Caenorhabditis elegans: one gene and its partners. The protein of the gene in region 1 interacts with the protein of each later gene in a pairwise test. Each region holds a gene or a part of one and is shown on either strand. Other genes may lie near its edges. The genes, in order: sel-10, lin-12, cpb-3 and nhr-22.

Evidence for each region.
Region 2: the proteins of sel-10 (region 1) and lin-12 interact in binary tests that used the Caenorhabditis elegans proteins (3 or more experiments, as listed by UniProt).
Region 3: the proteins of sel-10 (region 1) and cpb-3 interact in a two-hybrid assay, tested with the Caenorhabditis elegans proteins (one study listed by BioGRID).
Region 4: the proteins of sel-10 (region 1) and nhr-22 interact in a two-hybrid assay, tested with the Caenorhabditis elegans proteins (3 studies listed by BioGRID).

The regions. Positions count from the first base shown.
Region 1 is NC_003283.11:13,815,611-13,824,271, reverse strand, and holds sel-10 (F-box/WD repeat-containing protein sel-10), read right to left. Parts: upstream 4,912-8,661; 5' UTR 4,908-4,911; coding exon 4,818-4,907; intron 4,753-4,817; coding exon 4,685-4,752; intron 4,643-4,684; coding exon 4,546-4,642; exon of another isoform or gene 4,423-4,545; intron 4,312-4,422; coding exon 4,177-4,311; intron 4,129-4,176; coding exon 3,983-4,128; intron 3,935-3,982; coding exon 3,815-3,934; intron 3,755-3,814; coding exon 3,362-3,754; intron 3,015-3,361; coding exon 2,789-3,014; intron 2,740-2,788; coding exon 2,557-2,739; intron 2,250-2,556; coding exon 2,108-2,249; intron 2,058-2,107; coding exon 1,894-2,057; 3' UTR 1,292-1,893; downstream 1-1,291. Other genes in the region: hpo-31 (CCA tRNA nucleotidyltransferase 1, mitochondrial), read right to left, coding at 1-110, 546-663, 712-807, 853-1,009, 1,063-1,112; F55B12.2 (Carbohydrate sulfotransferase), read left to right, coding at 7,295-7,362, 7,631-7,725, 7,772-7,824, 7,870-8,012, 8,060-8,194, 8,241-8,378, 8,502-8,659. UniProt on the Caenorhabditis elegans protein: Probable substrate recognition component of SCF (SKP1-CUL-F-box protein) E3 ubiquitin-protein ligase complex, which mediates the ubiquitination and subsequent proteasomal degradation of target proteins.
Region 2 is NC_003281.10:9,066,943-9,074,481, forward strand, and holds the start of lin-12 (lin-12/Notch intracellular domain), read right to left. Parts: upstream 4,531-7,539; 5' UTR 4,447-4,530; coding exon 4,298-4,446; intron 2,778-4,297; coding exon 2,659-2,777; intron 1,044-2,658; coding exon 987-1,043; intron 1-986. UniProt on the Caenorhabditis elegans protein: Essential signaling protein which has a major role in many developmental processes; involved in cell fate decisions that require cell-cell interactions. Probable membrane-bound receptor for putative ligands lag-2, apx-1, dsl-1 and osm-11.
Region 3 is NC_003279.8:5,787,253-5,795,326, forward strand, and holds cpb-3 (Cytoplasmic polyadenylation element-binding protein 3), read right to left. Parts: upstream 4,501-8,074; 5' UTR 4,472-4,500; coding exon 4,349-4,471; intron 4,302-4,348; coding exon 3,372-4,301; intron 3,328-3,371; coding exon 3,169-3,327; intron 3,095-3,168; coding exon 2,494-3,094; intron 2,418-2,493; coding exon 2,205-2,417; intron 2,130-2,204; coding exon 1,918-2,129; 3' UTR 1,382-1,917; downstream 1-1,381. Other genes in the region: Runt-related transcription factor rnt-1, read left to right, coding at 1-16, 626-684, 737-855, 908-1,137; ATP-dependent RNA helicase glh-3, read right to left, coding at 5,329-5,533, 5,583-5,764, 5,811-5,914, 5,960-7,192, 7,304-7,657, 7,705-7,789. UniProt on the Caenorhabditis elegans protein: Cytoplasmic polyadenylation element binding protein that binds to and regulates the translation of specific mRNAs. May not be required for oogenesis.
Region 4 is NC_003280.10:6,443,152-6,451,523, reverse strand, and holds nhr-22 (Nuclear hormone receptor family member nhr-22), read left to right. Parts: upstream 1-1,731; 5' UTR 1,732-1,735; coding exon 1,736-2,080; intron 2,081-2,958; coding exon 2,959-3,121; intron 3,122-3,209; coding exon 3,210-3,341; intron 3,342-3,777; coding exon 3,778-4,175; intron 4,176-4,223; coding exon 4,224-4,420; intron 4,421-4,467; coding exon 4,468-4,599; intron 4,600-4,647; coding exon 4,648-4,763; intron 4,764-4,809; coding exon 4,810-4,961; intron 4,962-5,007; coding exon 5,008-5,102; intron 5,103-5,153; coding exon 5,154-5,163; 3' UTR 5,164-5,329; downstream 5,330-8,372. Other genes in the region: atg-16.2 (Autophagic-related protein 16.2), read left to right, coding at 271-361; K06A1.2 (uncharacterized protein), read right to left, coding at 5,390-5,549, 5,594-5,658, 5,703-5,778, 5,831-5,907, 5,956-6,159, 6,207-6,374, 6,420-6,506, 6,547-6,654 and 3 more; cutl-16 (ZP domain-containing protein), read right to left, coding at 7,926-8,113. UniProt on the Caenorhabditis elegans protein: Orphan nuclear receptor.

The DNA of each region.
Region 1 (8,661 bases):
TCGTAAATAGTCCTCCTGGATTCTCTGACGAGCGTCTCCAACAAAAGCGATGCGCCGAGTTTCAATGTCTCTGATTCCACCGAAATAGTCGACAACGTTTCCATGAAGATCTGTAAAAGAAATTCCAATATTTCATGAGCAAAGAATATAATATTATGGGAACGCGCTCCATTGCCAATTGAAAAACTCCGCCCACAAACTATGGGTCTCGTTAGGTATTTAGCGGAAAGCCCGTGAATGCACACGTTTTCAATTAATTTCGGCGATTTTCTGTTGTTTTTGATTATTTTTCATTTCCTAATGATGATTTGAAAAAATTTATGCGGATTTGAAAGGTGAATAATGGGTTTTCATATTACTATAAATTTTAAATCCAATTCCGTATAAAAATTATTTTTAAAAACAGGAAAAAACAGAAAATGTTTGAAATTTGGCGGAAGTGCCGAAACTAATTGAAAGTTTCAATTTACGGTTTTGCTGACAATTCCTAACGAGACCCATGGTTCGGGGGCGGAGTGCTTTCAATTTCCAATTTCTATACTAACCCAAAAACAGTGAATTGATAGTAAGATCTCTTCTATTTGCATCAAGTTGCCAGTCAGTTGTGTATTCAACTTGAGCCCTTCTTCCATCACACACAATGTCTACACGAAGCGTTGTGATCTGGGAAAATGTATATAGATTAAATTTATTAAACTAAAAACTAAATACCTCAAAGTTTTCACAATCGTCAATGCGACACGTGATTGTTCCGTGCTCTTCGCCTCTTTTATGAAGCATTCTAATTTTATCCTCTTCGAACATTTCCTGAATAAAATATATTTTTTTTGAGATTTGGAAAACAATTAAAACCTTCATTTGAGTCGGTGTTGCAGTACTGGCAAAGTCAACGTCAGCCGGTCGAATGTTCATAAGTAGATCTCGAACAGCTCCACCGGCAATTCGAAGCTCATAATTTCGTTTGGCGAATAAATCACGGAGTTTCAAAAGTTGAGGTGTGAAGAGAGTTCTGAAAAATATAGAATTAAACTTAAAACGATTCTTCAAATATCCGGAACTTGCCGAAAATCTTCATTATCAATTTTCATTGTAGTTGGCTCAATTTGATTCATGATGTATGTTGGAGTTTTTGCTGTTGATAGACTTCTGGTTGTTAAACTAATTATTGTAGTTGGGGTCAAAAATTTAGACACAAACTTCATAAAGCTGATATTCACTCACTGAAAAATTACAGGATAATTTGGAGAAATCTCCAATAGAGATATTAAAAGAAAATCACATATAGACGGATGACACGAATCGATATTTATTATTATGAAATAATTGTTATTAACCTACTTAATCGAATGACGTCTGGCATAAGTCGATAAAACGAAGACAAAAATTTTAAAAAAGGCAATGTCGAGGGTAGAACTTTGAATTTTGACAAGTAGTTTTTACGAAAAATGAAAGCGAAAAAAGAGGGAACCGACAGGGACTAAAAAGCTCATTAGATCAAAAAGAAGTCACATAAGGACTAACATACTGACTGAACTATTGTATAAAGGAAATCAAAATCTGGGAGTAGTGAGCCCATCATTTGAATAAAAATATAAAATCAATCAAACCCGATAACTTAATGGGAAACAATCGAAAAGAGAAAGAGAAGAGTGTGAGACAGAATCTGACAAAAAATAGTAAAAAAAAGAAAAATTATAGTGGCGGGCCGGGATATAACGAGTTGAATAGACACATAAATTCGTTTTTCCTCAAATTTGACGTTTCAATACTGTTGGCTTTTGACTATATTCCATGATATGATAGCATTGTTGATTTAAAAATGAGGGCATCGTGTACAATATTAGTTCCTAAGCAAGAACATTCTATGTACAGGGGCAGAGATTCGAGAATTCGTTAAGGGTATACAGCATCAAAGTCGAGAAGGATAACTTTGGTCTCCTCGGTGTTGTTACGAGATCCGACTGCACACGCTAGCATCGTAGAAGTAGAACAAAGTCTCCAAATACAGCCACCATTGCCTCCAGAATCCAAAGTTACTAGATCTCGAATCAGTGCACCTGGAAAATTTTTTTATGGGTAAAACTATCTGTAATTTATGTGATCTAACCTCTCTCAATATCCCACAATTTGACAGTTCCATCGTCACTACTCGTTGCTACCATATTTCGTCCAAACCATTGAAGTGAAGTGATAGCGGATCGATGTCCAGAAAGCATGTGTACACAAGTTCCCTCGTGAATATCCCATACCTGAAAAAATGATTTAAAAAAATAATACAATTTTTCAATGTTCTCACAATGTGAGGGTTACTTTATCTACTACGCTTTTGTGCTTTTCCATACTTTTGAAAATCATTTCAGATCCGTACACCTTTGTTTGCCATCGAATATTGGCTTTTGTAGAAACAGCCGCAGAGAGACAGAAAACGCAGTGAAACATCAGGACCAATTTTATTAATTGGAATTGGTCTCTAATTGTTTAACAGGAGAGCGATTCAGACTCTCGTACAAATGTTTAACTATGACAAGTTTCTCAATCTTACATCTCTATACTTACTCTAACATGGCTATCTGCATTGCATGACACGAGAATATTGCCTCGAAGTTGCATTCCGGATGTAAGTGAGGTGTGTCCTTGCAAAAGAGCCACACATTCTTGGCCTTCCGGTCGTGTAAAATCCCACACGCGAATTGAAGTGTCCAGAGAGCCAGAGCACACGATCGATCGCTCGCTTTCAAACTGAAAACAAAAACATTATTTTTCGGATTTTGTTATAAGAAAAACGTACGAGAAGAGAATAAACTCTATTGTTATGACCGGTCAGAGTACGGATACATCTCCCAGTATGAGCATTCCAAATTTTAACGGTAAAATCATATCCTCCCGAAACAACAGTTGTTCCATCGAATTGAACGCATCGAACGGCTGCATGATGGCCATGTAAAGTTGCCAGGTGACGTCCGGATTCTACGTCCCATACACGAAGAGTGGTATCTCGTGATCCAGTGACAAGTCTGAAAGTATTAAAATTAAAATGTATGGGTTGAAAGTGTGGTTATTCAGCGAGATTTTTCGTTTTCTTCTCATTTTTAAGATAGAAAATGTATTAAAAAAGTCTTAAACAACCAAATACACGTTCGTGTTTTTCTATTTTGAAACAAAAGTTTTAAAAAAATTACCATAAACTTTTTTTGTGAAATTAGATAGAATAATTTTCTTAAGATATAAATGATCTACAAATCAAAAACTTTCCATCAAGATTTGATATAGCTCGCAAATTAGGGAATTCAACTGTACGAAACCCGAAATTTTCAGTATTAAATTTCTTTTTCCAAGCAGTTATCATAGTGAATAGCCTTACATGGAACCAGCCATAGCCATGCATCGAACAGTGGAAGTATGTCCTTGAAGTGTATGAAGAAGTGAACCATCTACAGTACTCCAAACTTTTACAGTTCTATCAGTGGACCCGCTAACAATATATCTTCCGCATTGAGAAATCTGTGATGTCCAAACTCCTCCAGTGTGGCCGACTAGTGTGTACATAACCTCTCCTTTGTCAATACACCATACTTTAAGAGTGTTATCGTCAGATCCAGTCACCAAGACATCATCATGAATTTGCATACAAGTGATTACATGATCTTCGTGTCCTCGTAGCACTGCTGACCCCATAATTGGATTCGCATTCCAGTTCTTTTCAATTTTATCGGCTCGAAGATAACGTGACTTGTCAGCAGCGCGTTCGAAGATACTGAAAATAAATCGAATGTGATCGGAACGTCTTTAAAAATAATATTTCCAATAAACGTACTCTCCAAACTTCTGCAACTTTAGAAATCGATGAACATTAAGATCACATGGCTGAATGTGATCAGGAATAGTGACTCCAGCAGCAATTGCAGTTCCTTGCCACGCACCAGTAACTCGGTCTCTGAAAAGATAATACTAATCTCAAATAATTCCCGTTCAAAAGTATTACGTGGGATCTGGATGATGTTTAAACTCTTCGACACCAAGACTCTTCCAAATTTTGTCAATTTCAGATATCAATTTCCAATTTTTCGACACCTGTGCCACTTTGAGCAGGTCATATCCGGTTAAATTGTGAAGGATTTTCATTCCGAGCTGAAAAAGTTATATTTATAATTTTTCTTTCCGTTTCAACACAAATACCTCGACAGGGAGGCAGGAGAGGAAATCACGCTGGAAATGGGGTTCAATAATGGCACGCAGCTGTCGAATATTTGTCATGTTGGATTCCTGAAGCAGACGTGTGAATGCATCCATTTGTTCCGCGCTTGATAGATCCTAAAATGAATTCAAATTACACTTTTTTTCAGCAAAAATAGAGCGAATATGCCTGGCTGAGGTGCTCTCTTCAAGGTTTGGAAAAATCAATAATACACAGGTCACCCTCACCGGAGCTTGAATGCATTGTTTTGTCATGTTACTAATTATTGTCGCATTCAAATATTAATTTATTGCATGTGTATTAGCCGCAACGCTGAAAGATTGATCGCGACAATCAATCAATATGTTTACCTTGAATAATGCGATCAAATGTTCGACACGCGGATTGAGGTCGTTGTTTCGAGAGGGAGAAGCCGATAAATCAAGTTTGTGTTGCAAAGGTCTGGAACTGGTACGTTTTGCTATAAATATTCACTACAAAAAGGCTTACGACGATAATTTGTCAGCATTGTAGCTGGAAGAAGAGCCATTGCTGTACGAGCTTTCTTCTCCATTGTCCTGAAGACAAACATTTCAATTAGAATTAAATTATATTCTGAAAAGGGTTGTAAATGTTAACATACATTATATTCCATATCATTATCGGTAACAGGCTCCTGGTCCTCCGGTGTCATCGATCCATCATCCATGTGTACATCATTTCGTGGCCACATATGGCTGAAAAAGAATTGGAAATGAATAAAGGACAAAAACTACTGGGAATGAAGAATTTGAACACAAAAGGAAAGTCGATAAAACTATGATTTTCGTGAGAAAATGAGAAGAGAAGATGAAAGCTTTTTGCACGCGATATGCGTCAAGGCATCCAGTAGTGCGCCAATAACCGCTTGACGCATTTTCCGACGCGCACGTTTGTTCACTTGATGTTCACACGATGAAACATTTTCTATGCATATAAAGTGTATAAAGTTGATAAGATAACTTCAACAAATATTCTCGTGTAAAATAAAATATAAAATGTCCGACTTGTCGGTCACATAATCAGTTTCACAGAAGAAGCAGGTGTTCGATGGTCACTGCTGTTGCATATGACAGCTGGGTTCTCGTCCTTCATGATGGTGCAGAAAAATGTGTTCAACCTTGTTTCAAAATCATTTTTACGGAAAGGTTGTTTCGTATTGCACAAGTAAACCATCCTTATAAATTTCAGGATAATAAGGAATTTAAAAAACGAACTGCATCCCACGAAAACTCTTGTTTTGAAATTTTAAACTGAGTATATTAATTCAGTTTTTGAATAAAATAATACATATAGGTAATATGGTTTTTTAAAACAAGTGATTCAATTTACAACCACAAAAGAAAAATGATTTAAAATCTGTAACATTCTGAACGTAATGTGGTATTTCCATAACTGAATTCAAAAGAATTATGACCATCTGTGGCTACCGAGGGGGTAATTTTATGGAAATGAATACCATAAACTGACAGAAAAAGAGACACGAACACCTGCCACAATTGGAAACAATCGCTTTGGAATTTCTGTATAATATTTCTTCACAAATGTCAAGAACTATTTCTGATATGATAACACATTCATGACTAAACTGCAATTCCCATCTGAAATACGTTAGTTGAGTCATAGCTCACTATTTGCTCCATTTCTTTGTTTTTCACACTTTATTGGCTTTGTATTGCGGGGGGACGAATATGAAAGAATTGAGATGTGATTGAGAGGATTCAATTCATAAATTGTACTGATATTTATCAGCGAAAGTTAAAATTCATATTTGTCAGCAACACATCACATTTGCAAGATATATATTCAATATGCTAGAAATTGCACAAAACCGAAAAATACGATTATTTGAAATAGCCTACATTCTCTGAAAACGGAAATTCCGATTGTTCGACTTCAGGAGGAGCCACAATTTCCAACACTTTTGATATGTTTATTTAGTGAAATAAAAACTGAAATAAAATCCAAATCTATTCAAGAATGACGTTGGTATCAGACAATAAATTCGTGAAATATATTTTTATTTTCACGCCTTTCTACCTATATCATTTCGATAAAAAAAGGACGACGAAACATGAAAATAATTAAATTAAAATAATTTGGCAATTTTGATACTAGTCCAGCTCCAGTATGTCAAAAAATTCGATTAGTTGAAAGAGACCTGACCAATTCGGAAATTTCTGTAGAACGATTTTGGAAAGCTGAAAAAATGTTTTCTTGGAAGATTTTCACATTATAATTAAAATTTGAACTGCAAAACTATAGAAACAAAAACAGAATAAAAATGAGCTCTAATTGTAAATTTAAGGATAAAATCAAATACCAACATCATACGTGTTGCCAAAATTTAGGGTTTTCGGTATGGTGTCTAGAAAATGAAATAGTGGGTATACCTGATTTAAAATTAAAAAGTGTTCAGTCTGTTGTTAAGACTATTATATGTTGCCCACAAATTATTAAAAATGGGTATTTCAGAAAAACAAATGTATTATTTTTGTAGAGCTTTATTTATTTTCAAATATAAATGGCCAACTTACAAACTTTTTGATTACAATATGATGATCTGTTTGTTGGTTTATCGAAAAACGGCATGTTCAGAAATTGCCGAAATTGAACATTTTTTAGAAAATTCCTTGATTACCGCCCACCCCTACAACAAAAGAACTACGGTATTTACTTTCTGATCCGATTTGAAATTCTGGTAATCTACGTGTGTTCAAAAGTTGAAGTGGAAGCATCAAAAATGGATGCAACTTTGAAACTACTTTTAGGCACAATTTAATTACTCCCATTTTCATCCGAGATCATTGAGATCCAGACACAACCATCGTTCAATGTGATTTTGATTGGTCGGCATTCTTTTTTTCATACATCATGTACAGTAATGTTTGCTGCCGGTCTATATCCCTTTTTGTGGCTCATATCCTGGAAATGTTTACATTTTAAAAATCACTCCACACTCTATTCTGTCCCATTTTTGTGTCTACTCCCTCCGTTTTGGCATCAAACAACCGTGTCTTGCTCTATTTGGCAAACGAGAATCAAAAGACAACGACGATCTTTTATGGTTACCAAATGATCATGACCAAGAATGGGCATTTATTTCTACTGACAAATCTGAAAATTGTTAGAAAACAGTCTGCGGATCGGTAAGTTGATTAGGACTCGATACTACTGTAGGTTTCAGGGAAAAAATGATTACAGCATTTTATGGGAAATTTTCTTTTAATTCGATTGCTGAAATAAGTTCTGTAACGTTTCAAATCTGTGAATTTAGAAGCCAAAGCATGTGTTTTATTGCAAAATACTCACTTTTTAAACTAAGAATGTTTCAGACCTCAATGGTTTAGTTTTTTGTTTTTCAATTTTAATTTTGTATTGATTTCAATGCTTCCTTTAATGCTTAAACTGTTTCAGTTCAAAAAACAGAATCATATTTCAAGCATTTGCCATCAACTTCATAGTTATCTTATACTATTACGGAATGGCATCTGAAATTCGCCAACTTAGAGGTAACTGTTGAAACTTGCACTAGAAGCATACTTCTTCTAATGTCAGATAATCACCTTGACTTCATCCAACCATATGTAAATATTAGATCGGATCTATTTGTACGTTTTAGAAAGTGCTGTCCTAGAAGATCAGTCTTGTTTCAGATTGCTCCTAAATATAAGATTTTATCATGTGGAATTCGAAAATCGATGTCCCAACTTTTAATCAATATAATGTGCTTACTACACAATGAAACAGAGTTTCAGAACCAAAATCGATCTTTAAATGATACGTGGATGTCTGAAAGGTACAATAGTCTCTCTAATTCTTTAAAGTAGTCAAAAACTTTTTCAGAGTATGCTCTCACAAAGATCCAGAGTTCCACATTCCTCAAAAAAACGTGGAACAATATCAAAATCTCACAAAATTTGCGTTCATCCGGGATCCCTTTGATAGATTCATCTCATTCTATTTGCACGTTTGTAAAAAGTGAGTTGAGTTCTCTAAACTTAAGAGAAACATGCCACATTTTTAGTGACAATGGATGCTGGGATTGCGGTGACAATATGCGATGTGTTGTGAGAAATGTGTATAAAAGTCTGAAAAGTTATGAGAATGACCCAGATGAAGCTTCGTCGTCTTCGATAGACAGACATGCCGCGCCAATTACATGGTAGGAGACTATATTTGTGAAATAGTCACGGTTTTGTTTCTTTGACCTTTAGTTTTCAACTTTTAAACTTTTAAATGTCGCTTGACAATAAACTCTACATAAATTCACTTTTCAAATTTCCAGGAACTGTAACTTCCAAGAAACCTTCTCACAATATCACCTCATTAAAATTGGCTTCGACTATCAAAGTAGACATGCTGCAATTACTCAACTCACAGATATTCTATACACAAATCGTGTTTCTGACACACTTATTACCAAGATCTCAAACGAATCAATGAGT
Region 2 (7,539 bases), on another chromosome or scaffold:
ATCCTTAGTTCGTTAATCCCTATATTTTGTGGTTTCCCACAAGTATCAAATTCGTTCGCAACACAAAAAGAGGCACGGCAGTTGACATACATCACATCAAAAAGTTTGCCGACGCACCATGACAAACTCATTACAATCTTTAGACTACTTTGTGAAGGTAATACCGCGAACAAAATAGTTACTTGTTAGAAAATTGGGTTTAATTGAAATTCAGAAACATCAAGGATATCTCGTATTTCATGGAAGTTCGTATACCGTATTTCTTTTAACTTTGACTGCTTATATCTCAGTTGTCGTTTGTCCTATTTGAAAAATGTCAACGAAACATTTTAATGAAACATTTTTAATTTTTTCTACAGGTTAGTACTTGGTTATTAATTGATATTCAAAGATGTACCGAGATATAACCTTTCAAAGTGAAGTAGTCACAATTTCTTTTCTGAATTAAAATTTTTTATTACACTTTTAAATATATACCACTGCCTATTGCATGCCAATTAAGACATATCTTTAAGATGAGACTAGGTGTCAATCTTATTACTAAAGGAAACACGCAACAGTCATGATCTTTTAGATTATATCAATCCGACAACAGGTGGAGCACCTAGTCTCAGTGGGGTTTCCTTTCGGGTTTGCAACTACTGTGGAACGTGTCAAAAGCCCCAATAAAAGTATACCGTAACCTAGAATGTTTTGAATCTGAATTCATTTCAGAATTCGTTTCCCACGACCTTCTATTATCAAGACGTCAAGAAGACGACCCCCAGTAATTATAGAGTCATTTCGAAGATGATCGGTGTTGACGGGAAAGTCATACGGCTACAGTAATCCTGTCTCTGTTAAACTAACTATGCCCATCAATAATCCGTTAAGTTTGCTCAAGTGTACTGTGACGTAATCGGAACCGATAATTACAGGGCGCTATTAGTGGTTTGTTACACTTGTTTGTTCGGGTTATTGTTGCATTAGAATATGGAAGTACTTACCTCCGTAACCGGATGGACAGCTTGGTTTTAGTAGACTGTTTCCGTTAATGTCGCAATCTGAAATTTACTATCATAATTATTCTGTATATTAGAAAAAGTTAAGTCTAGGATATTTTTGTGTTGAACTGGAATAATTATCTGAATGAATAATTGTACTACAATAATCACAGTTCCCTACAGTATCCTGCATTACCACTACAGTACACATACAACATGTATCCACTAACCTCATTCCAATATCCTTTCAAAAAACAAAAACACTTTTTCAGAAACTACAGTACTCCTACATTACCCATATGAACTCAAAAGCAGACAGTTATTTTTAATATATAAATTGATCTATCCCTGTAACCATTCCACTTGTATATTTGCTTATTAGCCTAGTCGTACAATAACCAAATGTATACTTTCCCACGTCTGCCACTTCTTCTCCGACAGACTTCTGCTACATCAAATCCTATATACTATCATCATCTGCTCATCATTTCTAGGTCATTTATCCCACTTTTTCCCAAGAATTGGCAACACACACGAGGCGCCATCGGGTCGTCGCCCAATTCACCGCCCTCTTCACACATACCGAACATCAGACATAAATCGCGCCAAAAAGAAGCGCATCGACAATAGAGAAGCGCGCATGAAACAGAGAGGCTAGGAGGGGCAGATGACCTAGGAGCTATCTATCAGGCACCTTACGCGGTCACTTTTAACGCCGCCAACAAGACAAATGAGCTGAAGAGAAATGGAAAAAGATTGGCCGCGCTTCAATTTGTCCTCGATACAAACGAGTCATGATGAAATATTGAGGTGTTTGGTTGCCGTAACTTTGTTAAATATCTACTAACTACAGATTGATGAAGTTTGGAGCAATACTCATAAATGGTTTAACGGAAAACGATTAGTAAAATTTTTGAAAGTTGGGAATGGTAAGCGCATAAAGTTTAAAGCATAGTTTTCGTAAGCTTTCGAAATATGAGGAAATGCCTGCCTGGCTACCTACAAGGCAGCCTACGTCTGTTTCGCATAAATTACACATGTAGCCACAAACTTCCAATCTTCTAATGTCTTCAATTTTTGTTGAATTTTCAACATCAATCTACAGCAAACTACAGAGTTCAAGCTAACATTTAAAAAATTAGACGGTAGGCCGGCAAGTCAGCGTGAAGCAGACATTTAGACCTGTATACGCGTTGCCTATAGGCCTATTGCTATTATACCTGTGATAGCTTTAACAATGAGTAAGTAAATTCTTATTTTTTAATCTTCGAATATTTCGTTTAGTCTTAAAAATGATACAATTCCTAGTTTCTTAACTTCCATTGAATTTTCAAATCCACCTATTCACTTTCAAATTATTATTCACCCCCAACTTTGTCAGTTGTTTGCCACAATTCCACCAGGCATGTGCTTATGATGGATGGTGTGGTCAAAAAGATGACCGACAAAAGGGCGCGCGCAGCTGACCCTAGTTTTGGAATTTTGGGCCAAAAAAACATTTCATTCGCAACACCGCCACCATGGAGGGCTAAAAAAAATGAGTGATGGGTGTTTAGGTCCCTATGGGAATTGGGCAAAAAAGTGACCACTACTGGCTCATTGGTTTTGCAGGAAAATGAGATGCAATGGGAAGTGTTGTGTATAAGTTATTCAGCTCGAAATTACATTATCTTACCTTTACAGACACAGGTCTCCATCCGATAATCTTTGTCAAAAACACATTTCTCATCGGCTCCACATTTTGAAACATCACACTGTTGTTCACAATATTCACCACCAAATCCTTCATCGCATCTGAAACATTGGGAAGGGTTAGGGTTAAAGATTAAAGACGTCGTGCAGCCGAAAGGCACCGTAATCCTATTGTTTTATGGTTTTATGACAACTGATGGTAGGCTCACTCGACAGTATGTTTTGCCGACAAAACTGGGAACACGGCTGTAAAATTGTGAGGTGGCAACTGAGTCCTCATTTGTGATAAGATAAGCAATTTTGAAGACTATTCTTTTTCTCATTCAAAGTCTCAAAATGCCGAGTAAAAGTGGCATTCGTTGCAGTTTTCCGAAGTTGCCAATTGAAAGTAAAGCAATTTTCAGAAAGTGCAAACATTTTTCTATACTTCTATTTAAATTTTCGGGAAAAACTTTGACAGATAATACATCTGATAGGGAGTTCAAAACCAGCTACAGTAATCTTACAGTAACCCCCCATTGGTCATTTCTTTTGGGAACTTGGTCATAAATCCTACCCCATTCTTTTTTGTTTGATAAGAAAAATGTGGAAGACCAGTATTTTTTTGTCATTAAGAAGAATTCTCCCCTCAATTTCCCGTATTTTTCGGTTTTCCCATGGCAATAAACTACCGATTTGGGTGATTTTTTGGCGGCGGTGCGAGACCAGGAGGGGGAAAAGCTGCTTCTCTTTCGCATTTTAATGAGAATCTCAGCGGGTTAATTGCCTGGTTTTTCTTCGACTTTGAGACGAGAATTGGCAGGAAAAAAATGGCTGAGAATTGCTTTTCTGAAGTTGATTTATCCAAAACCCGACTTTTTCCAACTTTCCCATAACACCCTGAAAGTATTGTTTTTACAATATTTTCCCTCACTTTTTCCCAAAAAAATTGAAAGTTTTTTCTACAGCGAGGGACGACGCAGGTGTCTCCTCTGTGGGGTTTTTTCTCTCATTACTCGCTCATTTCTCTTGTTGCGCAAGTTTCGTAAATGGTGGGAACCCGTGCGAACAATGTCCTCCTATTAATTAACATCAACTATAAATTAATGGTGTGTTGTTCAAGTGACACGTGTCTCTACTTGAACCATATCACCTATCTTATCAGGAGCTAGCTGCTCAACGGAGAGCACATGCCGCTATAAATCAAGACGGATTACGTAATTATTGTTTGAAAAGGGCATGGATTATGGAAGAATAGTCTACTGGTACAAACAATGTTTTGTTATAATTTACAGTACTTCTTTTACTAGTATTGCACCTAGCTACTTAACTTTGTAAAGTTATAACTCGGTTAATTTCAAAGATATAAAAAGAATTGCCGTATTTCCTCTAATAGTCTTGAATAAAAGAATAATAGAGGAAATACGGTAACTACAAAACGGTAGCAAGAGAAATAACAAAAATTTGGTCAGTTGACAATTTTGTAAAGGAAATCCCATAATTCCTAGGAATATTCCTTACCCCCAATTTATTGCGTATTTTTAAGATTAGTTTTCAAAATGTGTAGATTTGTATTATTTATTTTACGTTGAATTAAAATTTGAAAAAATGTTTAAGTATTGTTAAGCAAAATCTTCACATACCTGCACCAATAAGAAGTTTGAGTTCCATTGACAGGTCCAGCATGGCAGTGACCATTTCTTCCACATATTAAGCCAAGACATGAGCCAATATGAAGCGATTTTGATAACGAGATAAGAAGAAATAAAAAACAAATCGTAGGGATCCGCATTTTTTGAAATTGAGCAAAGTCTGTTGAGCAATAGGGCGGACAGAGACAGGAAATTAGCTTTTAGATATGGATCATGTAGGTTCTGAAAATGGTTTTGAATTATTTAATTTAGTGAATTCGTTGTTTGAAAGTTGACGACAGTAAAACGGTATAGAAATGCAAAGGATCGGACCGTACTAATATTGCACCCCTGTTATTTAGTGTTGACAGCTTATATCTCAGTTGTCATTTGTTCTAAATAATAATTGTCAGCTGACAAAATATTTTTTCCATTGTGCAGAAAATCAGTTTTTGATATCATCAAAATGAGCGGAGATATTACCTTTCAAAGTAAAGTAGTGAGTTGCAATACTAAAAGAGGAATACAGTCATCGTCAACTAACAAACAAGGGCAAAATAGAAGGAAACAGGATCAATTCTTAAAACTATAATACTTGGCTCGAAACATTTTAAATATTTCGTGAGAGCTGTAGGAATATATTATTACCAATAAACGAAACCTAATAAAACCCAAACCTGGTAGCTTTTGCATTATCATTAATTAAGGATAAATAAATGCCAATCAAAAAATGGGTGGCTATTGTTATGTCTTCACCCAGTAAAAAGGACGAGAGAGGGCGAAGGGGTGGGGGTAGGATGAACACAAAAGAGAGAGAGACAGATGGCTCCGCCCAACTTGTTGCGGTCGCGGTGCGGCCACCAAGTAGACTTTTTTTTCATCGAGAAAGAAAAGGAGGAGAAGATGATTTTAAAATGAAACGACGATGTCAGATGGTTGGATGAAGTAGAAGTAGGAGGAGGTGGAAGAGAAGAGAGTGGGAACGGAAGGAAGAATGATCAAGATGAGGAAAACGAACTGCTGGGAACGTATGGTGATTTGCGGCTTTTGGGTCTTTGTGTGTCAGTTTTAGAGTTTTATTTCTGTTTATTTCTGTTTATTTCTGTTTATTCGGATACTTTATAGTTTTTAGTTTTATACATCAATACTTGCAAAAAATTTCTAAGCTTTGTTCAAAAAGTAATATCTTGGTTTTATCCATTTAGGAACAACTGTAAGATTGTATAAATGATTTTTAGCCATTTTATAGGCGGAAGAGATTTTTCATAGCTTTTCCTGTTCAAAAGCTGAAAGAGCTTGAAAATACTAAACACATCGAGTAAGAATTAGAAAAAAAAACAAATCAAAATATTGAACACGCTTTTTCCAAGGTGTTTTCTAATCTCTCTATTTGAATTACCTCCAAAACGAGAACTGCATGGCCAATCAGCAATTCGCTCTGCCCATTCTTCAACCAATCAGATTAAGTATGGAAATTCCGAAGTCGCTAATTGGTTCAAAAGTGGGCGTTTGTTTTTGGCGGGAATTCAAACAGATTTGATCATTTTTTGATTATTTTTTTAACTGTTTCACACAATTAAATATAACCTTATTCTCGACAATTAATTGCTATCTGAACCAAATTTGTTGCAAAAATTCACGCATAGTTGTTGCTACCAATTAACTACTATTTTCCCAAAACACGGAAATGATGGATGAGCCAACAGGAGCACAGGTGTCTGTTACTGTGGTGTCATATACATGTGACGTGACAATCAACCGGCAACTTTGAACTGTCGTCGACGGATTAGTCTCAAGACCTCTTGACTTGATTTATTGGCATGGGAACCCGCCAAGGAAAGGTTTCAAAAATAACAATATTGTTAATAAATGAGTGTAACATTTAAGAAAACATTTAAAAATGGCATTAACAATAGCTCTATAAAAACCTGGTTTTTTAGAAGGCCGTTATTAATTATCAGCTTTGGTGGTATTTTGTTTTAAAATAGTCAAATCTTAAAATTACCACAAAAAAGATAATAGGAAATCTTATGAAAATGAAAAAAATGTTGCTGAAGAAAATTCAAATTTCCGTTATATTGTGAATGGGGCTACCTTGTTCTCCTACTTTTATTTGCACAAGTGCATCATCATCTGTGTCCTTCTATCTCAACCATTCATGATTATTTTGTGTTTTAGTTGATTTTTTACTGATTGATCATGCATCTAAAAATAATGGGAAAATGTTTTCAAAACTAACCTTTTAGTGGGAAATTGTGAGATTATTAGCGTGGGCGCATGCCTCCCCAAAAAATGTTGTTATCAACGTACGTAGTAGTAGAAAAGAAGCCAAATGGAACAAAACGAAAAAGAAAAAGAAATCGAAAATATGAAACAAATAGAAAAGAATCAACATTTCGGCACAAGATGGCAGATATTGAATATTGATTGATTCAGGTACACTTATACAATCTCCAGTTGCACAGGTGGAATCGTCATATTGGACAATCTGGCAATATTTATATACACGAAGACCTTTGTCGATGGTTTATTGCTAATTCGATTACAATTTTGAGTCATTGTTAGGAAAGTAGAGGTTGCAGATGTTTATTGATCATTTCATAATTTTTATTAAAAGTTTTTTTTCTCTTTTCTGAAAATTCAATCCGATTTCAAGCATGCTAACTTTGAACATTTTTAGATTTTTCTAAATTTTCAGTCAGTTTTGGTAATTGAACAAATTTTTCAAAATGACTTTCTGAGACATTTTGAGCCATGTCGCAGAAACCCTTACAATGCTTGAATATAAGCCTTTGAAATATAATTAAAATTTTAAAAAATGATGGAAAATCCATTTTTCATTCTTCTGGCCAACTTCCGAAATCATGATATGGAAAAACAGAGTCATCTACACTTTTCGACTGGAAATGAATATCTTAAGATTTAAGATTTGTTAAGATTTCGAAATTTACTTGAATTATAATGTTCAACAGCTTTAGCACTAGAAAATGATATTTTCTCATTTCCCACTGGTGTTACTCCAAATTAAGTTGAGCATAATAACTTCTATCATTTGATACTTTGATTCAAGTACGGCTCCTTCGAAATTTCAATGCATAAACTCGCAAGTTTAGAACTCCAGAAAATGTATGAGGTTGGTTAAGACCCCAATTTCTTCTTCCGGTTTATTTGTGCACAATGATGTAACACGAGAGAGTGTTACCATAACTTTTCTCGACTTTATACATTAATCTACAGTAATCCAACAGATACGT
Region 3 (8,074 bases), on another chromosome or scaffold:
AACGCCTGGACCACCGGTACGATTTTTTGATTTTTGTACAAACAAAATTTTGTATTAATTACTTAAGTATAGGGTCTCGAAATTACCAGAATTTGTTGAATAAAGCCTGAGAAAAAAAGGATGTGACTTTAAGAAGTACAGTAGTCTCCTTTTTCTGAAATCGAGGCAAATGAAAACGCTCCGCCCCCTCATGTTGGGTCTCGTTAGGTATTGGCGGGAATATCAGAAATTCAAACGTTTTCAATAACTTTTGCTGATTTCACCTGATTTCGAGAATTAAATTGTTTCTACTCTCAATTGACTCTAATGATTTTTACTGTGAAATAATGTTTTGAAAAGTACAGAAAAGTGAATAAGGGTTTTTATTTGATTATGAATTTTATGGCATCAGTTTCGATATAAAATTCATCCGATAATACCTAACGAGACCCAGCGTTTGGGGGCGGAGACTTTTGGCGTTGGAGCGCGCTCACACCCCCAATTTCAAAATTCACATTTTTCTGCGTCCCCAATATAAAAAATTCATTCATTTTTGAAATGTTTTTAATTTGAAAAATTCTGCAAAAAACTGTAGAAGAACATTCATGAAAAAATTGCAAACAATTTTTAAAAATTTAATTTTCAGATGCCAATGACAATGATTCCACCACCATGGTTTCCTTTACCAATGACTCAAACTTTCCCGTAAGTTTTTCGAATTTCACATTATTCATAAAATAATTTTTATATTTTTCAGCCCATCATTTTTTCCGCTTATCTCTCCAGGACCACATCCTTCTATCTCAGCTGCACTTTGGAAAATTCACAGCGAATCGATGAAAACTCCGATTAAACAAAAAGTTGAACAGGAAAATGGTTAGATTATTTTTTCGGAAATAAATATATATATATAATTTATTAATTGCAGTATCCCTTAATACGTCTACATGCCTATCATCTCCATCAATTTTTATAACTCCAACTTCTGATGATCGGAAGTTAAAACGACCATCTTCTCCTCGTTCAATCACAAAATCATCAGAAACTTCAATTAATTTAATTCAAGAAACTCCGGAATCTGTAGAATCAAAAAGACGAAGAAATGTATCAATAACTTCATCGAATAGTTCTTCTCCGACTATTTGGAGGCCTTTTTAATCTTAAAAATATTCATTATTTTACCACAACACACCAAATTTCTCTCAATTTCCAAATCTCAATTGTTTCCTACCTCTTCAGTCACTTTTCTCAATATTCTCGTTTTAAAACACGTTCAACGGGTTCATTTAACGGTTTTCAACCTTTTTTGTATAATAATACAAGTTTTGATCTAAATCGGAATAGATTATCATCATATCTAATAAAGTTTCAGGTTTGAATTCAACTAGACAACAAGTCGTACTATCGAAAAAATTTTATTCGAAAAAAAAATTAATGCGCAATCTGCGAGAAAATATGCAATTGGGGAGGATGTGAAAGAGTACTTAAGATGAATAATTTTATAAGTGATAAAAAAGATAAAACGTTACCTTCGATTCTTCTTGTATACATTAAACGAGAGGGAGGTAAAACGCAATGCGGAGAGTTTAAATCTACAGATGGGACCAAGAAAATGGCATACGAATTGATTGCGAATGACAAGGAAAAATGGCATCAGATTCGGATAAGAGTTGGGAGATGGATGATTAGAAACACAACAAAATAACAAAATTGATTAAAAAAACAAACAATTAAGAAGGCCCAAACTAAACGCTACAGGGGAAAACAAAAAAAGATGTTACAGATGCAATATGATTCACAGGGAGTTTTCTCATTCATAGTTTTCAGCAAACATAAACTACGTTGATTATTTCTACAGAACTACGAGCGACGGAACTTATATAAAATATTCGAATAGTAATGAGAACATGGCAATTTTTGATGGAAACAGGCAAGCGCTTACTGGCCGTAATTGGGAGAGCGCATCATTGCAGAAGGATGTTGCTGAGGGGGAATAAAGCCATAATAAAGGTTAGCGCCATAGTATGGTTGCTGAGGTTGCGAAATGTTGCTAGATGTCGGGTGGTTTGGAGAACCGTAGTATGTTGGTGGTGGAGTTAGGAATGCAGCCGAGTTGTAGTATGCTGGCAATGGAGAACCGTCGGACACACCTGAAATTTGAGAAAATGTAACAATTGAGTAAAATAATATGCTCCGCTTATAAAGTATTGAAATATTCCACTCACTCTTTTGTGGAGATATGACAGGAGTTGAATTGAAGAAGACTGTTGGCGGAGTCGAAAACTCTGTGAAGCTTCTTCTATTCTTGTTGATCTCACTTGGTGATGGTGTCATTGGTGGCTCAAAAACGGCTGGTTTCAACAGTTGTTGACCATTTTGAATATATCCATAGAGAGCTGACAATGTTTGTGCAGGTGCGCCGACGATGATAGGGAAACCTGAAAATTATAAAAACTGAGTTTAAGAAATAGATATTTTCCAAATTTTCGAAAAATAAAAATTAGTTATCTGTACCTGCCGAAGGAAAATGAGGAATCGAATTATTGACTTGAGAATTGTTAGATCCATTTTTCAACGACAAGCTGCTTGAAACTTGCGAACGACGAGTAGTTGCTCCTGGAAACGCTTTCGAAGCCGACGATGGTACAATCACTGGAATATGGACTTCTTGATCATCATCTTTTCCGTGATCCAATGCCCAACAGTTGTGACAGTAGTACTTGAAGCAATTCTTATTCCGACAGAAACAGTGTGCTGACTGCGAATTACATACCATACAGCATGTACTTTCGAGGAATGGATCTATCTGGACACGTTTACGGAATTTGCTGGTATAGACGTGCAGATATCCCATCTCGATGGCTTTGAAATACGCGCCATGTTCACGAAATGTGACACGTCCACTTCCAATCGGATATTTGAACTTATCCGTATCAAGTTGCACACATTCAACGGCTCCAAAACAGTCCTCCATTATTGAATGAAGTACTTGAGCTGTCATCATCCCATGTAAAGCTCCAACAAAGACAGTTCGTTTTGGCTCTATTCCTGTTTCGAGAAGTGTATCATCCTCACAAAACATAGAGTCCGAGGTAACCCATGGAATGATTTGTACCTGAAATGATTGAAAATTGAAATCATAGTAGAATATACGCAAAAAAGAAACATCACATATTGTGGTTGACCTACCTGCCGTATCTCGGTCGATTTCGATCTTTGAGCTCGAATCTTAAAGTACCATTCTCCGGCTCCTCCAATCTCTTGAGAACATTCGTGAAGTAGAGAAGCAACAGCGCGTTCATCTTCAAATATCATGTAGACGTACCCAGTAGCAGCTTGTCCAGTATACTGAAAATTTCAGTGTTATTTTTAACCGTTCAAAAAGTTCGTACCTTCGTTTGAGCTCTCAAACTCCCATTTGACGGAGCCAAATTTGATTGTCCACTGCGATAACGTGCTTCTTGTCCAGGCCATTCAACTGCACACGAACCAAATTCTCCAAATGAATCTTTTAAAGCTGCCTCAGTGATATCCCATGGAACTCCTCCAACAAATATCTTCCGTGAGAATGTTGGACTTGTATAATCTCTGGGCGGAAGCTCTCCAAACCAAGTTGCGTCGCTATCACGGTTTTTATTTCCATGTTCTTGTTGGAAGTTTTTTCTTTTCATCGGAGATTCCTCATTTGCAGATGTGAAGTGCTCTCGAGATGGAAACTGATTCATACTGTCAGAAGGAGACGATTCGGTTGAACTGCTGAAGCCTTTTTGCGGAGAATCTGTAGGAGTCTCAAGGGAACCACGAGGATTACGGTAGAGATTCCGATTTGCCTTATTGATTGGAACGGGAGCACCCTTCGAGATAACTATCTTCTCATATTCTCTAGTCATTTCAGCAACGAATGAACTATTATTTGTTTTTGTTGAATCCTTCTTTTGCTCTGCGTCTCTCTCGAAATTTAGTCGCCGAGCAGATTTCTTACGCTGTGAATTTCTTTCCGAGTCGATAGACTTCTTTGTAGTTCTTGAAGATCCAAAAATATGCATTCGATTCGACGAATTCGGATGCTCTGTTGATGTCCGGCGAGATGGTACAATCTTTTTGAGTAGGCGATTAGCAGGCGACGGAGTGGATTCATCTACTTTCGATGATTTTTTGCTTCCAACAGTGAGCATTTGAAGCTTTCGAAGAAATCCATTCTTCTCGTCTGTAGAAAGCTTGTCAAATCCTACATTCATGTTGTCTTCTTCGGTCGGCTTTACACTGTCCGATTTGTGGTACTTCTTGAACAAATCATAAACTGTTGCAGGAGTTGGAGATTTCTAAAAATGAAAACTTTTAAACTATTTCGAAAAACAAATTTACAAACCTCGCCAACTGACTCAACAGGACTGAGCTTTAACGAGGGCGGAATTTTGTTCTTTCTCTCGGTTGATTTCGCAACGATAGATCTTTCATTACCGATGCCTTCCACTCGGTCATTCAGGTTCATGGTGAATGCTTTTATCAACGGCAGCAAGTCTGAAAATTAGAAATGTTCCCTTGAGTTCAAGAGCGAAAGTAATTATGCTCAGGCGAAAGTTATTAACTACAGGTTCTTCAAACTTGTTTTTAACGAAAACATTTTCAAACTCAAATTGGAAGAAAGAATTTTCCCTAAAACAACACGGACAGAATAAAAAACTGACAAAACATTTCTAAAAACTGATTTTAAAATTTTGGGATTTTCGAAATTAAAGCATTTTGAAATTTGAATTTGCTTAGTGTATGCACACAAAACATGATGAACGACGCGATGTTACACAGAACATGTGCTACAGTAATTCTTTCGTAAAATTCAAATTGACTTAATTTAATTTTTATATACATAAGATTTTAATATTATAAGATGAATGAGATTTAATTATTTGAATTGATTGAATTTAAATATTAAAATTCATTAAAAAACACGTTCTCAGCGTTCACTATTATCAAATTTATGAGTCACGAATAAACAGATGACCAGTTATTATCGAGTGGGCATCGTGCCAAGACAACTGAGAAGTTAAAAAAAACTGATAGTGAGTCCATCTGAAAAGATTTTGAAAGCTTTAATTAAAACAAAAATTTATCAGATTTACGAGACATTGATTGAATACTGATCTGAATTTATAAACATTCCAACTATTGAAAACAAAAATGAACATATAAACCTAACAACAAAAAATATATTTTAAAAATTCGGGAAATTTAAAGTTGAAATGCCAAGACGATCAGATATTTTGGGGAATAAAAGGGGGCTGAACATTATCAGAAAAATAATACGTCAAGATTGATATTTTGCAGAAATTAAATTTAGAATACATTGCTTCACCAAGCTTCCTCCGGTTCCTCGGTATCAATAGATTTTTCGAATTTATTAGGATTGGAGGTCCCTCCTGCAGCTTCCTTCATCCAGCTTGGCACAACTTGTTCGGCGTCAGCTAGAGTTCGCACCAACTGCGGCAGAATTTGAACATCGTCTGCCAATGATATGAAGCTAGTTGCTCTTCCCGAGTTTCCGACTCGTCCAGTTCTGAAAAACGGTAATTACAAAAAATAAAACATTTCAGGAAATAACCAACCGGCCAATTCGATGGATATAATCATCAATGTTATTTGGCATGTCGTAGTTAATAACATGATCTACACCTTTAATGTCAAGACCACGCTCAACAACAGCCGTGGCGATGAGCACTGGCTTAGCTCCACTTCGGAACAATTTCAAAGCAGCCGACCGTTCTTTTTGCTCGCGAGCACCGTGAATCTATAAAAAAGAAGAATGGAAATACACTACTAATATACAAACGAACTGTAATCGCTGGAACTTGGGCTGCCGACATGATACTGGCCAGAGTGTCTGCCATTTTTTGTTGAGCAACGAATACAATCGTTTTCTTCACAAAGACATCAGAATCTAAAAACATATATGACGATATTGAAAAGTGAAAGTAAAACAAACTTTTCTCGGTGGTGTAGGTGTCAATATCGATACCGAGAAGCTTCAAAAGCTTATCCACTTTTGATGTTCTATCGCACAACTCGAACTCTTGAATGACACATTTGTTGGCGGCTCCAATTTTATCGATTGTAATCATTGTGTAGTCTTCACGCAACAATTTACGAGCAGCTTCTTGGACGCTGCTGGGAAATGTGGCACTGAACATCATTGTTTGTCGTTTATCATTTTTGGGCATATTCTTATAGTTGATAATTTGCTCAATTTCTGGTCCGAATCCCATTGAATCAATCATTCGATCTGCTTCATCTAGGACCAGGTATCGACACTTATCGAGTTTTATAGCGCCATCTTCACAAAAATGTTTAACACGTCCAATTGTTCCAACAATGATAGTACATCCTTTCATAATCTGGCTCTTATTGTATCCTACATTTATTCCGCCATAGACTGGTTTGATTTCCATAACAGATTGATAGGAAAACTTTCTGCCCTCGTTGTAAATTTGATCAGCAAGCTCTCGAGTTGGTGTAAGAATAATGCATCGTGGATAGCAACCTCCTTCTGCTCCATAATTCAAATCCTTTTCCAAAATTAGACGAGACATAATCGGCAAAAGAAATGCTGCAGTTTTGCCCGATCCAGTCTGAGCACAAGCAAGGATATCTTTGCCATCAGCAACAAGTGGAAGTGTATATTGTTGAATCGGAGTTGTTCGGGTATAACCTGCTCTCTCCACGTTTCTTCTCATACTTTGAGGAATATCGGAATCGGAAAAACTTTTACATGGTTGAATGGTGACCGGCTGTCCACGTGACACAAGTTGAACGCTAGCGTCAAAGAACTTGTCAAAGAAATCTCCAGCGTTAATCTTCAACATGCTAAATACCTCCTCCATCTTGTCCACGACTGGCACATAGGTGACCTTTGTCGGCTCTTGAACTCCGTTTTTCGACCAGCTTGCGCACTCATTTGCACGATGATTCGGATCACCACAATTAGCACATTCACGTTGTGGGGCGGAGCATTCTGTTGCACGATGTCCATACTTCTTGCAATTGAAACATGTATTGCTGATTCCAAAACCTTTTGCTTCAAGGATTGGAGAGGTACCGCAGAATTCATCGCTTCTTTTGTTTCCATAGCTTGAAACACCACCGGAATCTCTGTCACGTTCCTCATCTTTTGCCGAACAGTTTTCAGTTGATACTTGATCATCAGAACGGTGGATGCTCCCTGAAAAAAGTTTGAGAAATTGTCTATTATCTGTATTCGGTACTTAATTTCAAATAATTCTTCATACAAAGACCACACTTTTACCAGATAGTAAATTCCTGCCAAACTTACCTTCATTTTCTTTGACATTCGAGGTTCTCTTGCTTCCACGAGTTACTGCTCGTGATCTAGAATTTAGAGATCTGCCCACGAGAAATCTCGGATTCATTATCCCAGGACATTCCAATTCCGTTGTAGATGGTGATCCATGCAAATTATTATTTGAGTGGAAAACATTATCAACTTTGTCATCGAAGCCAGAAAAAGAGCCCCCAATCTCGCTGCGCACGGCTATACGTTGATCTTCGGAAATTATTGTTGGTTTCGCTTCGAGTTCAGACATCCTACAGCTACGACGAGAAAATACTGATGATTGAACTCCAAAACTGCTGAGACCTCGATCATCTTTTTTAATGCATGAACTCGCTGAAAAATAAATGTTGGGAATTGGTAGTGATATTCAGAAAACCTACATTGTTCTGTAGTATCTACATCAGAAATTGGCTGGTGTCTAGCGAATTTGGTCCGGATACTTGTCTTTGTTGGGCTTTTATCCATTATTCCGTGCCGTTTAACTCTATTTTGACAACCAGAGTTAATCCCCCAGCCAGTATCGGAAGATTTCGTTTACCTGCAAAGAATATTTTGCGCGTAAAGTTGTTTTGTTTCCAAGAAACGATAAATAAGCATATAAATTAGTTTTTAAACACCAAATAAAAATAAACACTTAAGATTTGCAAAATTGTTTAAAAGAATGAAATTTCAAATTTGTTCCGGGGTTGCACAGAGAACAGCACGATTGACGAAAAATTGCACATAACATATTTTACAGTAGCCGGCTCT
Region 4 (8,372 bases), on another chromosome or scaffold:
GGCGTGCGCCTTTAAAGAGTACTGCGGAATTTTAATTTCTAAATCTTTCGATAAAACTACACTTAAATAAAAACTTTGAAAAAATGTAAAAAAATATGGCAGCAACAAGCGTTTAAAGTTACAGTACTCTTAAAAGATGAATATGTATTTAATAAAAAATTATCGTTTCGAGATACCGTAATTTTGAATGAAAATCGAAAACTTGGGAAATTAAATCCGCTTCCAGAGTACAATGCCCCAATTCTGCTCTCAAAAATGTTTTTTTTTCAGTTCGGCTCAAATAATGTCTCTGGCATGGAATCCGTCAGGCCGAGGTCTTCTAGCTTGTGATCGTCAGAAGACTTGTACACTCTGGAGATGATCTTCAATGTATGAAATTGAATATAATTGTACAGAATCATCATCTGTGTTATAAATGTGCATATCCATTTTTAAAAAAATAGTTTTACCCGCGTTTTTCATGTTTTCTTTCAGATTTTTCATTATGAACATTCGTTTGAAATAGAAAAAAATTGTATGATATTTATACATTTTAATTTAAACCGGTAATCCTCAAAAAATGCCTGAATATTACAAATTCTGTGTTATCACCACCTATCCCTTGTATTCTATGAACATAAAATGCACATTTTCTTATCATTTCACCTGGTTGGCTGACTGACAGTCGTTTGGAAACATTCGAGTTTTCTTAAATTTTCTATAGTTTCTGATGCTAACCTATGAAAATCAGTTCAAAATGATGACAAGAATACAGGAAATTAATAATTTCTGTTCCCGCAGCATGATGATATTTTTTGCCGATGAATAGTCCTAATTCTTCGTCATTGAAAAAAATTTGCTCCTTTCGATCTGAATTTGAAAAAAGTTTATTAAAAAAAGTATATTTCAAATATTAATGATTTCTGATTATTCTGCATTGCCAGGAAAATATTTTCATATAAACTTGTGAAAAGATGTCAATTTCTGAAAACAATTCGGCCAGTTTTCTGAAGCAGTATTTTACATATCTTCCAGGGTTCAAAAGATTAGTACTCTCAATGAGTCGCAGACAGCTTAGTTGTTTTTTCTTTCGTATTAATATACTTACATTTTCTTTTATCTCTAATTCTCTTACATCCACCTTTTCCGCAATCTCTGCCACTGTCGGCGATCTCTTGTTCTCGCACGTTTCTCTCTAATTCTATAACGAACGTAAATCTTTATTCTCTCTATTATTTTTATATATATTTGTGTGAAATATTCAAAACTTGAGTATTTAAATTTTTTGAAAAACCATAAGTTCAATGTGATAATTTGAAATTTTCCCATCACGTTTTCGATTAGACAGAATGAAGTTTCCGTTCCAGTGACTATAAATAGGCGAAATTTAATTGAAAATAGTTTTGCATTATTTTCAAACCACAGACTTTTTATTCATACATATATTTGAAAATATTAATTCAGTGAATTGCAAATTTAAAACTCACATTTCTTTAAAATTAATGAATCAATTTTCTATCTCTTGCCGTAACAAATAAATAAATCCATATATTAATATCTTCTCCCCTTTGTCCAGCCAATTTCTCATCTCCTCCAATTAGCCTCTTCCCACCTTTCTCTCTTCTTCATTTTCCCCCAATTCTGTTCTTATCAGTACTAACCTTGTTCGGTCCTTTCTCTCTCTAACCTCTCTCTTCTCTTTTTCTTACTCTCTACCATTGCCGCACACCTCCATTCATTTTCACTTTAATCAAATATGTCTACGGACCTTCTCTATGAATATTTCTATCCACCTACCGATTTATTCAAAAATACTTTTGAAGACGTACCACCATCTCCTGAGTCTCTGGACGTTGGTGATTCGTTAGGATCATCTCCATCTTACGATCTTGGATTCCAACCATCATTCGATATTGACTTCTGCATTTGGAAAGAGGGATCTTCATCACCTCCACCGGAATCGAATCATCTCCCAGAGATTGTAAATAAAGCTTCAACATCTCCACGTGGAATGCCATCTCCATTAACTGACAGTCGAAGTTGTCATGTCTGTTCATCTCCCACTGCCAATACTCTACATTTTGGAGGTCGTTCTTGTAAGGTAAGCAATATGATCAAGAAAAAAATATTTCTCGTATCAATTATTAATTAGCACTACTCCGAAAAAATGAACATTTTTTGTTTTTACAAGTGTTGTACTTTCGTTGTTGTTGTACAATATACATTTTTTGTTTTCTGGATAACAATTGAATTTGCATCGGACATTATTACCCAGGCCCACGGTATCCTGCCTCAGCGCAACATATTTTTGTTAAATTCGAAACGTTGTGCGTCTTTGAAGAGTACTGTAATTTCAAACTTTTATCATATTTTTTATCATTCAAACTCGTAAAATCAACATTTCTAGACTTGAATTTTTGTTCTAAAAACACCGATAAACCGTTGGTTTCATTAGTGATAATTGTGAAAAAAGGTCCTAAAGTATTTTAAGGCGTAATAATATAACTATGCTTTGAAAATGTGCCAAAATTTGTAACATGCTCGCCACGTGTTTTTATTGTTATCCTGTGTTATCTAGAAGTGTATTGTAGTCAGGTATTTTCTTTTTCCGTCTGCGTATTTCGACGAAACATCACTTATTTTTGTGGCCATTTGTGGTATGTGTCTCACACTATTTGTTTTTGTAGTCTTAAGTGTAGCTAGAATGACAATAGAAGATCTTCATCTGATCGGATGTTTGAACACACCACAGTACAGTTCCTGTTTAGAAACTAGCTCCTTTTGACCAAGTTTTGTATGATAATCTTACTGAAAACCACGAACAAATAGAAAAAGTTGTTGATAACGTACATCACACTTTGCATGCTTTATGTTTAAATAAAGAGAAAATGAAAAGTACAATTTGCATCACTAATACCTCCGGAAACATGTTTCTCACAATTTAATTGGAATAAATTTAATAAATGAGCATATTTTCAGGCATGTGCAGCATTTTTCCGAAGAAGTGTTTCAATGTCAATGACTTACGAATGCATTGGCACTGGAGATGACACAAATCCGTGTAGAACCCATTACGAGCTCAGAATGATATGCCGTCACTGTCGGTTCATCAAATGTTTAGATGCCGGAATGCGCAGAGAACGTGAGTGATCATTGACAAGGTCATTTGTCACATGTTCAATTGGCCAAAAAGTCCGAGGTACAAAAAACAGTAATTTGTTGTTTTGCAGTGGTGCAAGCGAGAAAAGAAGAGACGAGAGTTGCAAAACGACGTTCCAAGGGATTGGTTGTATCGAAAAAGGAAGATGACGATGTTGAATCTTCGTATGATGAGTATGTAAATACATATACAAATGTTCAAGGTTAGTTTCTAATTTATTTCGAAAATATTTTTGAAGCCCTCGACTGGGAAATTTTTTAAACCCTCTCCTATGGTAATAAAATTCCTAAGTATAACAGTTTAACGTTTCAAAAAATTTTTTAAATTTTTTAGTTACCGTCAAAAGTGGGCAAAACTCAGTTTTCATCTATCACAGTTTTTGGAAGTTGACCAAAAAAAATATTTATCTACAAGTCCTTTTTTTTACAGCGTTTTAATTGTTTTAATTGGAAAAATTCCAGGGTTCCAACTTGTAACAATTTCTACAATTTTTTGAAAATTTGGCAATTCACCAAAACTGAGGTTTTTTAAACTCTTAATCTTTTTGGAAAGTTTTTATGAGATTCGGTTATGTTAGAGTATTATAAGTGTATCTATCCCGACTGACGATACTTTAATAATACCATTTGTTGTTTCAGATTCGAGCCCGAAAATGGAATCAGGGATTAATGAAATGACGATTCCTGAGTCATACCTTTCACCGGATCCTTCATCTTCTCAACCACTTGATATGACAGTAACACCTCCACCACTGCACCGTTCAACTCCATCCATACTTCTTACTCCAGCAACTGGTGACCGTATGCACTGTCAACGTGTGCTTTCCAATTCTCCTCCATTCGATATACACCAGGCAAGCACCAGCCATGCAGGATTTATTCAACATGTACAGTTCTACCCAGTCGTTGAAGTTGAAAATAAAATTTTCGAATTAGTTGATCATTATGTAAGAACAGAAGCTTCATTGAATGATCGAAGGAAAATAATGTACACGGATACTCAGATAAGAGATGTTTTCGATACAACTTGTGAATGTGTGAGTTTTCAATGCACCATATCCATTTCTCACAATATTCTCTTTCAGCCCTACGAAAATCATCAGCTGAAACCTTTCAACTATAAATCATTTTGCGGATTTGTAAAGCACGACTTTGTTATGATTCTTGATTACGTGAATCAATTTCCGGAGTTTCAAGCTTTACACAAAAATGACAAAAATGTGGTCTATCGAATGGCTTGCGCCGTAGATTCAATGCTTGCATCTGCCTATTATAGCTATAAGTGAGTATTTAATGTTCAAAAATTAGATTCAGTCAGTTTTTCTACAGAGTTGGAATAGAAAAAGAACGTCTAATACTTTTCAATGGTGACTATATCAATATGAATCCGATTCCAATAAGTGGAGATGAGCCAGGCGCGGGAACAGAGTTTCAAACCCCGCAAGAACATGAAAAGTACAAGTGAGTTTGCTAAACTTTTTTAAATCTCAGTAAATTGTTATCTTGCAGAACCCTAATGCCACTGAAGCTAAAACAATATTTCGATCTGGCAATTCCGTTCGCTCGACTAGAAGTCTCATTTGAAGAATACGTACTTCTGAAAGCTCTCATAATTTGGCAAATCAGTAAGTAAATAATATCTACAGTAAAGTTTTAAAATTCTCGTTTCAGGTAACTATCGGTTACTAGAGGAGGGACGAGCAATTTGTGCACGGCAACGAGACACAATAGTTCAAGCCTTGCATAAAGTAGTTGAAGAACGAGGTGATGAGGATCCAGCTATTCGAGTTGGTCAGCTTCTTCTGAGCATGAGCTATATAACGGTTGGTTCCATCATCAATTTGTTATGAAAAATTAAATGAGTTTCAGGAGCAAGTACAAGCAATGACAAACTCTTACCTTGTAATGACTTTCTTTGATGTTGTATCCTGTGATAGTATAATGTACGACTTACTATCTTTCAGGTAACAAAATTCTAATAATTTCAAAGTTTAAATGTTATCAAATTATTTCAGAGACGACTGAAACAACCATCGTGAAGGTTCTACTTCATTCATCTGACTTTTAACGACTATTAACTTACATAGCTTTATCGCGTAGCTTTTGTATTTAAAATTGTGACATTTTGTTTATATTCTGTGATTTTCTTTTTTTGCCATATTCGTTCAAACTCTCAATTCAGATCTTTCAAAACATGTGTAAAATTGAACTCATTTCAGTTGTATTGATATACATTTAATAATTAAAAAATTTATTCAACACTTGACACATGACTAGGGCTATAAGAAGTCACCGAATCATCCACATAAACCGGAAGAACGAAATATTGCCAATGCGATTGTGGAACCAAATATGGTTTGCTCCAAAGACGTTGCAAGTCACCCGTTGGTGGAGTCGAGTCAAGAGGAAACCTGAAATAGAATGGATTAGAGATTATTGAGAACTATGAATTCACCATTCAATAAGAATATTGTGATTCAACGTTGGAGATTCAGCTCTAGTACATTGCTCGACTTCTATCTGAAATTTCGACTGTTTTTGGTAGCTCTAGATGTAGTTTTCACCGAAATTTCTTTGCCGGGAGGAATCAAAAACTTCGATGGATACAACTTGTAGAAGCCAGTGGTTGACAACAGAGCTCTACAAAAAATGAACTGTATTTAAAATAACCAGAATAATTTTCGCTGCAGACCTCAACGCCAACCAATCATTGTTCCTATTGTTCTTCACATTCAATATAGACAATCCAAGCCGTGGGACATGGAATGGCTGAAAATAAAATAATGTTGCAATATATTTCACTTTAATCATTCTCACTCTCGGATGGATATATGTCATTTCATTAAACTCGCTCTCGATTCTCGTCTCACCAGATTGAGTACTCAGAATAGTTGGAGCCACCTGGCTTGGGGTCTCCTCGCTGATTCGTGGAATTGGATCAATATTAGGCTTCAATTTACTGAGCAGGTATGTTTGGATGACAAGCAACATATGATAAACCAAAATGAAGAAGTGTGACAGCTGAATCAGAAGTTTCGTTCAATGTTGGAATAAGGCTATCGGAATACCATAAACTGCCAAATTGCTCCATTTAGTCTACAATAGCCAGGTTCATGATCTTTGTGCCAGAGACAAACTGTAGAAAGAAAGCATTCATAAACAAATATTGGGACTGTAATCAGCTTGAAAATAGCAAGGAAGAGTGCACCAAACTTGTTGATATACTTTCGATCTTTCTGAAAATTAAAAGATATGGAATGGACTAGAATTAAAAAACTTACAACATAAATGAATAAAGAAAAATCGAAAATGAAGAATATCAAGGGAAATGAGAAATATAAAGATGGACCGATTCCAGCATCGAAAATCTAAATTAATTTGGTTGGCCTGTGATTACTGGCGTTTTACCTGATACAAGAAGTGCCGTGGTGTTGTGAAAACTCCTTTTGGATGTTTCATGCAAACTTTTCGAAATGGAAAGTATATGGTTACCAATGATAGAAGGAGGAATAGTGACTGAATAAATGTTTTCTGGAATAAACTATACATTAAATCCCAACCTTTGCCCATAAAATAGTCGTCATTCTACTCTCCTCTGGTATCACAATATTATATTTCGGTAAATATTTCACTGATTTCATATAGAATGTGACTAGCAGAAGAACCACACACGAGAGCCCAACATGACCAAAGACTAGCCACCAAACTTGGGACATTGTCCATAATTGTGTCAACTCGGCCATTTTTCGCTTCTCCGGAGCACATATTTTGGGTGAACTTGATGAAGTACAGCAACAATGGGTATCTCTTGCTGGAAATGGAATGTTGAAAATAATATAATTTATTTCAAATTTACCATCACCCAGGCAAACTGATGACTCGTCAGTTTTGTTAAGCAAAACAGCACAAGAAAGTGTTGAAAGTTTTGAAGGTTTTTGAGAACAATCAAATCTTTCAATATCTCCTTCTGATGTGGCATGGAAATGAGAAAAGCATATGTCAGACGTGCACTGGTTATTTCCATTTTGATTGTTAATGCACTGGTTCGAAGATCCCGAGGATAAGGATCTGAAATTTTTACTATTTCTGAGATATCCACGCAGGACGTGAAATGGTTGCATCTGACTTCCAGTCGGTCTACCCGCGTGCCTACTGCTAAAGTACATGTAAAAACAAACTTTCAGCAATAAAAACTTTAGTGAGACGTTTGTAAATCTACACCGCGCAAAATTCAAAATGACATCAGCCACGAGAGAGACAGAGGCAGGCAGGTATGAGATTTGCCTGTGCTCCTGGAAACAGATAAGAAATTTATAAACTCACAAACTACATAAAACAAAGACGATAACTTTTAGCATGCTGGGAAACTCAAAAATGATCTTTCTTTTTTGTTTTACGTGGTTTTTGTTTTATTTTTGAAATATGAACACGTAGAGCTTATATGAACTATCACGGTAAAATTACAAATAATAAGATTCTATTTATATATTAAAAAAAAACAATTCGACATTCATTTTTCAACTTTAAACGCTGAAATTGGCACGGAGATAACATATCATTCAGAAATCACAAATCAAAAACAAAAAGATGGAATAGTTGTTATAATTAATAGGAAAATTATTCGAAAACAACCCATTTTGGCAGGAAAATATGTAAGGCTGATGAAATGAGAACAGAATAAAGCATTTGAAGAAGGGATTTTGGGGAAACATTTACACGCAACGGAAAGGTCTTCTGAGGATTATGGAAATTGAAAGAAGTCTAGAAATGAAAGATCTTATAGAAAGTTATGGAAGAACTTGAAACCGTGGGTTCTTTTTTGCTGTATAGCAAAGTGCTCCAAATGTGATTGAGACTGCAAAGAGAATGACTCCGAGAAGAAGCCATAAAACTGCATATGGTAAGCAGACTGCTTTCATTGGGACTTCTTCTTGTGATGATGATTGTTGTTCTTGTGGTGATGGTAAATCAGCAGCTAAAAACTTTGATGTATCTTCATGTTTCTAATAAATTTCGAGTATGAAAACTGTTCTGGAAACTCTCTGTGGCTATAAGGAACGTGTTACCTATCTTGAAAGCGACCTACTCGTATTTCGATCAACAAATCACGATCCTTACATTACACTGGACGCAGGCTACCTTTCACAAAAGACGCAGCATGCCTTGTGGACATTTTTGAACTAACTAGATCATTCTAGCTATAACGCATAAAATATATACAAGTACCAAAGTCT